Oryctolagus cuniculus: one gene and its partner. The protein of the gene in region 2 purifies or fractionates together with the protein of the main gene of each other region. This does not show direct contact. Links are inferred from orthologs where the notes say so. Each region holds a gene or a part of one and is shown on either strand. Other genes may lie near its edges.

Region 1 (4,174 bases), on a different chromosome or scaffold from region 2:
GGCTGCGCTCTGGGCTCCTATTGTCCTGCTGCCAGACAGGATAATTAAGGTCAGGAGGAAAAAGATGCCCCAGGGGCTGCTGGGAGGAGTCAGGTCTAAGACTAGCCTGACCAGGAGAATGAGCCTGGCAGAGGGGAGTGGAGGAGTCTGGGGAGCTCAGGAAAGGCCCCGCCCCCCGGAAGCCCTTGCCCTCTAACATGGGTGGATGGCGAGGGCAGGGCTAAAGCTCAGCCAGAACTCCCCCTCCCTTTCCATACTCTCTCCCAAGCAGAAGCCCAGTGAGGAGTTGGCTCGACACTGACAATTCCGGCAACAGATGGGACCCAGGTGTCCCCTCCTGGAGTGGGCGGCACAGCCCACAGAGGCCAGATGGTGTCTGTGGTGGGGAGAGAAGCCTGGGTTGTCCAGAATAGGCTGTCAGGCCCCAACCTGCCTACCACCCCACCCCACCCCGCCCCAGCCTCCTACAGCCTCATGCTGGGGGAAGACACAGCCAGGCCTGGGTTGTATAAAACAGTTTATTCACATTTTAGAAAAACTAATTCTGGGACTGGGACAGGGAATGGCCTCCCCAGGGGGCAGGTATGAGATCAAGAACAGGCAGCCAGAGGGAGGCGTTTGGGAGGTGAGGAGTGGGAAGTAGGGGCCATGTCTCCCACTCTGGGTTGGGAGAGTAGGTCAAATAAATTAACAGGGAGGGGGGCAGCGGGCGAGGGTGTCCAGGCAACCAGACAGAGGGCTTGGAGCTGGGCCAGAAGACAGTCAACACCTGCAAGAACTGGAGAAAGCGTGGAGGGGGCTGAGGTCAGAGAGCCCTGGGCCGGCGGGCCTCCCTCCCTAACGGGATGCTGCAGAGCTGAGCAGCCTCCTCTTCCCCCAGGTGGGGAGGGAGTAGTTCAGCTTAGGACTTGTGGGCAGGAGTCCTAAGGAAGACAAGATGGGGTGGGGGCTGTTTTTCCCCCTCACCTGGGGAGTGAGGGATCACCGCTTCCGCAGCCTCTTCATGAAACAGCAGGTGATGGTGCCAAGGACGATGGCGCCAGTCACTAGAGCTACCCCTGTTCCCACCAGCATGGGCACTAACAGGGTGTCTAGGGCTGGGTGAGAGAGGGTGGTTCAGTTCAGAGGGGGTGCCCTCGTCTCCCACCCCCGACCGTCACGCTCATCCCCCAGCTCCCCTGTGCACACGGTCCCTCCCCCGCCCACTGCTGCCCTCTCCGCATATGAGGACGTGGGTACAGGTGGGCGCAAGGGGCAAACACTGGGTTCCCGAGACCTTTCAGCAGGCTACATGGAGGAGAGAGAGAGGATGGCGGCAGGAGGCTCAGAGGCAGGAAAGGGACAATGAGGCAGGGGCTGGAGGGTGGGGCCCACTCACCATGCGTGTAGGGGTAGACTGTGACGGGCCCGGAGCGGGCACTGCCAGCCTGGTACCAGCTGTAGTCTGCATGCTGCACCCAGGCACTGGGGGCGCAGTGGTACACGCCCTCATCCTCGGGCCCCAAGCTGTGCAGTCTCAGCCGATGGCTTCGGGGCCCCACCAGCTCCACGCTGACAGGGCCTCCTCCGGGCCGGACCCCCAGCTCTGCCACCCCGTCCTGGCCCACGCCGCCCACCAGCTGGGCAGGGGAAGAGCTCAGTTCCCCCTCCTCTGGTCGCTCCACCCACCAGCTGGCAGCCAGCCGCAGCCCTGGGGGGCCGCCCCGCACAGAGATGTTGCACAACAGGGAGGCAGTCTCCCCCCTGTACACTGTGCCCCCTGCCAGCCATGCCACGGCCTCCAGCACCACACCTGCAAAACAGAGGACAGGAATCAGAGGGCGGAGGGGCAGGGACAGGGGGTTAGGTCCCAGGAAACTCAGGGTATCCCCATAATTACAGTGGAAGAGGAGCATGAGGCCGATGAACAAGGAGAGGGCATGGAAACAGAAGGTTCTATGAGCCCCTCACCTTCCTCCCGCACATGCACAGGGAGAGGCCGGGAGCGAGCACTGGCTGCCTCACGAAGCCGGGTCCCAGAGCCTCGAACATAGGCTTTGGCGAGGCAGCGGTAGGTGCCTGCATCAGCAGGCCTGGCAGCCTCTAGCCGTAGCCGATAGGTCCTGGACGCCACCTTCTCCATGGCAATGTGCCGGCCCTCGTAGCCAGGGCCCAGGCTGCCCACGCCCTCTGTGTCCAGCTGGGCTACCAGGCGGCCAGGCCCCGGTGCCCCTGCAGGTGCCATCTCCCAGCCCACGGAGTACGCAGCATGACGGCCTGGTGGGGGCAGTGCCCCGGACACGTTGCACAGCAGCTCCAAGGGCTCCCCTGGGCCGATGCGACGCTCTCCAGGCCCCACGGTCACTGCCAGTTGGCTGGCTGAAACACGGGAGGGGAGAAGAATGTCACAGTGGCACCCGACTCCACAACTGTGGTTCCTTCCCCGACGGCAGCAATTTGGAGGCCTCCTGTCTGCCCCTCACTGGGTGTCACCATCTCCTGCGCCCAGGGACAGGATGCTCATCCCCAGCCATGGCCCTGCTATCTCCTCCCCTAACACCTGGGCAGAGAAAAGCTGTCACAGGTGGAGAGGGAAACGAAGCTGACAGGGTCACCCGCTCTTTGGAAAATGAGTTCCCTGAAGTCAGAGGTGGCTTGGAGTCCACTGGGAGAGAGGACAGCGGGCCTTGGAGCTCCAGGGTGGGGGTGTGGGCACTCACACAGCGTCTGCACGTCCACCTGGGCCAGGACAGCCCTCTTCTCCGCGATCTGGGCCCAGCTGCCATCAGGATCCTGAATCCACTCCGCGGCAGTGCAGTGGTAGGTGCCCGCGTCCTCGGCCTGCGCGCCCCCCACCACCATGCGGTACCGATCGCTCCCCTCCTTGCCCAGCCGCAGCTCCCCTGCAGCCAGCCGCTCAGCATAGGGAGCCCCGGCCTCCACGGCCAGGTCGGAACGAAGTCCCACCACTTCCTGCAGAGTCGCTCGCCCCACGGGCGCCTCGGGCACGGCTCGTCCAAAGGACACGGCCAGGTGTGTGTGCTTCTGTGTGCTCGTCCGCGCCAGGCAGCCCAGGGCCAGCTCCTGGCCCTCGTGCACTGTCAGGCGTGGAGGGGAGGCTGGGGCCTGGCGGCCTCGGGGCCCCGGCGGTGCAGCAGACACCTGTAGCATATCTGGAAGAACTGAGAGGGGAGAAGGAGTGAGGGAGGGCCGGGAGCTGGCAGCTCTTGTCCTGTTTCCCTAAGCAGACCAGCGCGAGCCCCTGGAGAGCAGAGACTGCATGTTGTGTTAGTTCTTCTGTAACTCAGTGGTGCCAAGCATGGCACTGGGCACACCACGGCAGCTCAATAAACACTTGCTGAATTTGGTAGAACCAGCCCATTGCCTACTCACCGTTATGTTCCAGAGCAACCCCACATTGAAATACTGAGAAAACACCAACAAGTGTACAAGGGCAAGAATGTCAGCTGGTCTAAGTCCTACCCCACCTCTGGACTCTCAGGAGTACAGCCCACTCAGCCCCTCAGGCTGCCCCGCCCTACTGGGGAGCGGAGAGTAGACAGCACAGCTTAGACACACTTGCCCTTCTCCCATGAGGGAGTTTGCTAGGAGAGCAGTGGACTGCAATGAAGGAATCTGGGTTTGAGTCCCACCCCAGCCACCACGGGTGACTTTGTGAGTCACTTAGCCTCTCTGCGTTAGATAGGTCCCACCTGGCCCTGACTTTCTGCCCCATCCCAGGGCCCTGTACCTCGAAGCTCCACCTTGCCGCTGTAGCTGCCCAGGTAGCGGGTATCAGTGGAAGGTGTGTAGCACTCGTAAATCCCTGCGTCCTGGGCCTGCAGGCGCGCGATCTTGAGCAGCACAGCATCACCCTGGAGACGCTGCACCTGCACTTCACCGGCAGCCACACGGGGCCCGAAGATGGCGTAGGAGAACCGGGTATCCCTGGTACTGACAATGCCCAGGGCAGCATCTGGGGCCTCAGGTCTGTACAGGAACCACTCGAAGTCCTGCTGGGCAGGGCCCTCATAGCCACTCACATTGCAGGAGATGGAGACAGCCGTGCCAGCCACGCGGTACAGGGGCCCCTCGGGGACCAGCACCTCCCGGGCACCGCATCCGACTCCTATGGGAAAGCACAAGGAGTTGGGAAGCCTGGGTCCCCATTCCATGTCCCCAGCTACCACCTTTC
Region 2 (4,308 bases):
GAGGACCCAACGCAGGCGCAACCATGCACTCTCTCCTCTGCAGGCCGGGCCGAATGGCTGTCTCCCCGGCGTGGGGTCGGTGTGGGGGCACTGGGGGAGTCCAGTCGCCCCCGTGCCGAGTCCCCCCGACACAGCCTGCTGGGGTCGCCGTCCGAGGCAGGGAGCAGATGCGCTGGCGGGGTGACGGACGGTCACGTGCCATCTGGCAGAAGTAAATCGAGCGCCTGTTCCCAGGGCTTCATCTGCCACTGGAAGGCAGCCACCGGCTGTACCTCTCAGGACACCTGGCCACCGTCACACCTGCCGTGCAGGCCAGCTCTACGCACCCCTGCCCCATCCCAGGAGCTCCGGGACCCAGCCCAAGGGCATCCGCACGGTGCTCTCTGCTCGGGCCGCCGGGGAGCCCACGACCTCGCTGGCCAGGACGCCTCACTGCACATGGCCAGCGATGGGAGGAAGACGAGCACCTGTGGGACACCTTCCTCCCCGGGGCTGCCAGGCTCCCACGGCTGCCTCCCCCCTCGAGGCGGCTCCTGAAATGGGACTTTTAAAAAGTGCCCCACGCAGGGGCCGGCACCTGGCACAAGGCTGACAATGCCGCCCGGGGCGCCCGCAGCCCATGTGGGAGCCCTGGGTTGAGAGCCGGCTCCAGCTGCCTGCCGAGCTGCACCCTGGGAGGGCAGCAGGTGCGGGGCCCTGGACTGGGCTTCCCCAGCTTCAGCCTGGCGTGACCCCTGCAGGCGTCTGAGGAGCGAATCAGAGGACGGGCGTCTCTCTCTGCCTCTTTGACTTCCCAATAAACATCTTACAAAGCGCCCATCCAGACGTGCAGTGCCCACCTGTCCCGCCACACCCCCGCAAGCCCCCAGGGCCCTCCATCCACAACAGGCCCCGTGGGGCGGGCACCCCCGCGCCCAGGCATTTCCTCCTGGGCCAGGCCCGGCCCGGCTCTCCTTGGCCGAGCTTCACGGCGGCTGCCATGCCCAGCCTCCTTTTCCGGAGCCGTCCCTGCGCCAAGCCCCTCACTCACACGAGCAGCCTGCCAGCCACCAGGAAGTCCACGAAGACCCCGCTCAGAGGGGGCTCTGCAGTGCAGGGAGCCGGGTGGGGGCCCCGGGGACAGGCCGGTGGGGGCCCCCGGGACAGGCCGGGCGGGAGGGGCCTCGGAACCAGCGCCCCGGGGGGTGTGCTCCAGCCTCCACCAACCGGGAAGCGGCCCAGCTCCCTGGGGGGCGCGCCCCCGGAGATCTCCCAGCTGCTGGCACTGCTGCACAGCCCAAGGCACAAACATCTCCAGGAGGAGGCCCCGCCCCCATCCCGTCACCCCCCTCCCCGGGCCAGCAGAGGGACGCCCCCTGTGCCCGTCACCTCCTACGCGTCTGGGCCCTGGCAGGCAAACACTGACCCACACAGATGCCACCTCCTCTTTGGCCAAGGCCCCAGGGCCAGGCTGGGCCGGCCAGATGGCCTCACCGCCACCCCACGCGGGAGCGCAGTGTCCCCGGAGCCGGCAGCCCTGTCTCTGTTCTCCCTGCCCGAGGTCCTCGCTGGCCCGGCAGCTGTCCAGATGCGAAGCAGATGTCCCGGGGCCCGCGCTAAAAGTTGACCCTCCTGCCTCAACTTGGGGAGTGCGGAGCCTGCCAGGACGGCGCCCAGTGCCCTGCAGGAAGGGCCAGACCCGGGGGGCAGGGGCAGGGGCAGGGGCAGGGGCCGGCCGTCTGGCCCCCCCCCACCGCGCTCGGCCTCTCCACCCCCCACCCCCAATTCCAGGGCCGACAGGAAATGGAAACAAAAGGCGAAAACATCACGGGCCGCCTCCCCGGCAGCCAAGAAAGTTCCCCCAGGACCAGCCCGCGCCGACCCCTCCCTGCAGAGCGGGGAGCCCCAGCCCGCACCCGTGCCGCCCTCCGCCCCAACGCGGGCCCTCCCCGCCCCGAGCGTCCACAGCCCCCCGGGGCCAGGCGGGACCGGACGCGCAGCGCCAGCGAAGAGGGGCGCTGGGCCCCCAGGAACCCCGGTGCGCTGCCCCCAGGGACCAGAGGGCGACTTGCCCTCAGGGCGCGGCGCGGAAGAAGGGCCCCAGGCGCCGGCCCAGAGCGTGCGCCCCCTCCCCTCGCGGCCCATTCCGGGGCGGTGGCCCCGATGAGCTCATGGGGGCGGGGCAAGCCCCTCCGCCCGCGCCACGCCGGGTGGTCCCGGGCACTGCGGCTGGGGACGCGGCTCCGGGCCACGCGCGCCGACCTGTCCCGGGCACAGAGCGGACAGAGCCCCGCGCCCCCTACCCAGACGCTCCGCCGGGCCGCGGGGCTGGGCCCCGACACGCAGAGGTCCCCGCCGCCGGGCCCGCCGCCAGGGGCTTCGGCGGCCCTGGACGCCCCCCACCCGCGCCCGGAGCCCACAGGTGGCTCCGCAACTCGACGGCCGCCCGCGCCCCCTCCGCGGGGCCTAGCGCGCGGCCTGCGCGCCTGCCCTCGGCGGGCCGCGCCCCGCCCCCCGCCCCGCTGCTCACCCAGAAGACGAAATTGAAGACGAACAGCAGGTACTTGATGCACTTGGTGCAGCCTTCCACCCCCATGGCGGCGCGGGCGGCGGGCGGCCTGCGGGCGCGGGCCGGGCCTGGGCGGCGGGCGGGCCGGGGCGCGGGGCCGGGCCGGGCGCGGGGCCTGGAGGGCGGCGGGGGCCGGCGAGCCCCGGGCTCGGAGCGCGGCGAGCGGGACGCGCGGGGCGCGGGGCGCGGGAGGCCTGGCCGGTAGCACGGAGGGGTCGCCGCCGCCGCCGCCGCCGCTGTGCGCGCTCGCTCTCTGGCCGGGCGCGCGCCCCCTCCGCGCCGCTTATAGGACAGCGCGGCCCCGCCCCCGGCCCGGCCCCGCCCCCGGCGCCCGGAGCCCCGGCCGCGGGACAGAGCCGGGTGGGAGAGGGGGCGGGGTGAGGGTGGGAGGAGGGCGCTGCGGCTTCCTGGGTCCGGTCACCCGAGACCGTCGCGTCCCCAGCCGCTGGCCGGGCGAGTGTCCCCCGAGCGTGGGCATGCAGCACGTGTCTGGGAGCAAGACCTCCCCTTCCCCCTGCTCAGGCGCCTGTCGTAATCCCCGAGGGCTCCCGGTGGAGGTGATGCAGTGGCGGATGGCTCTGCACGCACCGGAGCTCTGCTCCTCTTGCTGTCCAGGGCAGACCAGGGGTGGGCCTGAAGGTCTGGACCCGAATTCTCGGCAGCCAGTTCCTGTGCTAGGGAAAGCCGTTGCTGCCGCCCCCAGCAGCCTCGGCAAAGGTCACCAGCTGGGCCCCAGACCAGCGCGACCAGCGCGGGAGCCACCGTGGCAGCTCGCACCCACCCGCCCTGCCACTCCCCGGCCCTGCCCTCGCAGCTGGGGTCTGGTGAGGCAGTGGGGACTGATGGGACAGCGAGGGGTGCTTTCTCCCAGGCCCCAGGCCCCAGCCAGCGCTGGCCCCTCATCGGCCCCTCCTCATCGGCCCCAAGCAGGTCATGCAGGCCCACGTGCACCCGAGGCTGCGTCCTGGGCAGGCGCTCGCCCGGACCCAGGTGGGGCCGGTCTGAGTCCTGCCCCTGCCCCGTGCAGATGGTGGCTGGGGGCTGTCTGCGTGGGTGTGTCCTCCCCGGGCTGACTCCTCCCATGGTTTTCCTGCTGGCCGGTGGGTGCTCGTGGTTGTGTCCCACGCCAACGTGTGAGCTGCAGGCACAAGGTCCCGCTGGACGTCTGGTCTCCGAGAGGCCTTTGTGGGTGGGAGGGGCCAGAAGAGCCGGCGTCTGGTGAGCTCCCCGCTGTCCCCGGTGCCAGGAACGCTTCCTGCCAGGCGGAGCCCTCGGTCCGAGGCCGGTCACCCGGCCGCCCTGTCCTGTCCTGTCCTTGGCTTGGTCACGCGTCTCACATTTCCTGGCCCCTTTGTGTGGCAGGAGCTGGGCCAGGTGCTGGCTGGGGGGGCAGCCAGGACCCCTCCCCTGGAGGGCCTGAGACAGGTGCTGCCCCACCCAGGAGCCCAGGCCGGGATGCTTGATGGGGGGAGGGGCTGACAGGGGAGAGGAGCCTTGCAGGTAGATGGGTGAGGCTGCAGTGGCCGACGGAGCCGAGCAGGGATGAGAGCCTGACGCCCAGATGGGCTGGTGCTCCGTTTTGGTCACGGTGGGGTGGGGTGGCCTGGGGGTGTAGCTGGGCCCGGTGGCTGCCGACAGTGGAACCCCGGCTCCGTAGGCTGGTGGGGGACACCTCAGGGGCCTGGTGGGTGTCCCATGCCCTTGACCTCATGTGTGCTGGGGGCCCAGGGCAGTGAGGACAGGGCACGTGTCACTGTGAT

The links. Proteins that work in one complex are often made in the same cells at the same time.
Region 1: the proteins of CD81 (region 2) and IGSF8 purify together in Homo sapiens (co-immunoprecipitation; 3 studies listed by BioGRID and IntAct, with this or other methods). This does not show direct contact. The link is inferred for Oryctolagus cuniculus from reciprocal best matches to the Homo sapiens genes CD81 and IGSF8.

What each region holds. Positions count from the first base shown.
Region 1 is NC_091438.1:38,828,294-38,832,467, reverse strand, and holds the end of IGSF8 (immunoglobulin superfamily member 8), read right to left. Parts: intron 4,109-4,174; coding exon 3,731-4,108; intron 3,162-3,730; coding exon 2,700-3,161; intron 2,359-2,699; coding exon 1,951-2,358; intron 1,793-1,950; coding exon 1,379-1,792; intron 1,098-1,378; coding exon 982-1,097; 3' UTR 967-981; intron 779-966; 3' UTR 505-778; downstream 1-504. UniProt on the Homo sapiens protein: Member of the immunoglobulin superfamily (IgSF) that links tetraspanin-enriched microdomains to the actin cytoskeleton and plays several important roles in innate and adaptive immunity.
Region 2 is NC_091432.1:1,172,525-1,176,832, forward strand, and holds the start of CD81 (CD81 antigen), read right to left. Parts: upstream 2,803-4,308; 5' UTR 2,576-2,802; coding exon 2,510-2,575; intron 1,291-2,509; exon of another isoform or gene 1,031-1,290; intron 1-1,030. UniProt on the Homo sapiens protein: Structural component of specialized membrane microdomains known as tetraspanin-enriched microdomains (TERMs), which act as platforms for receptor clustering and signaling.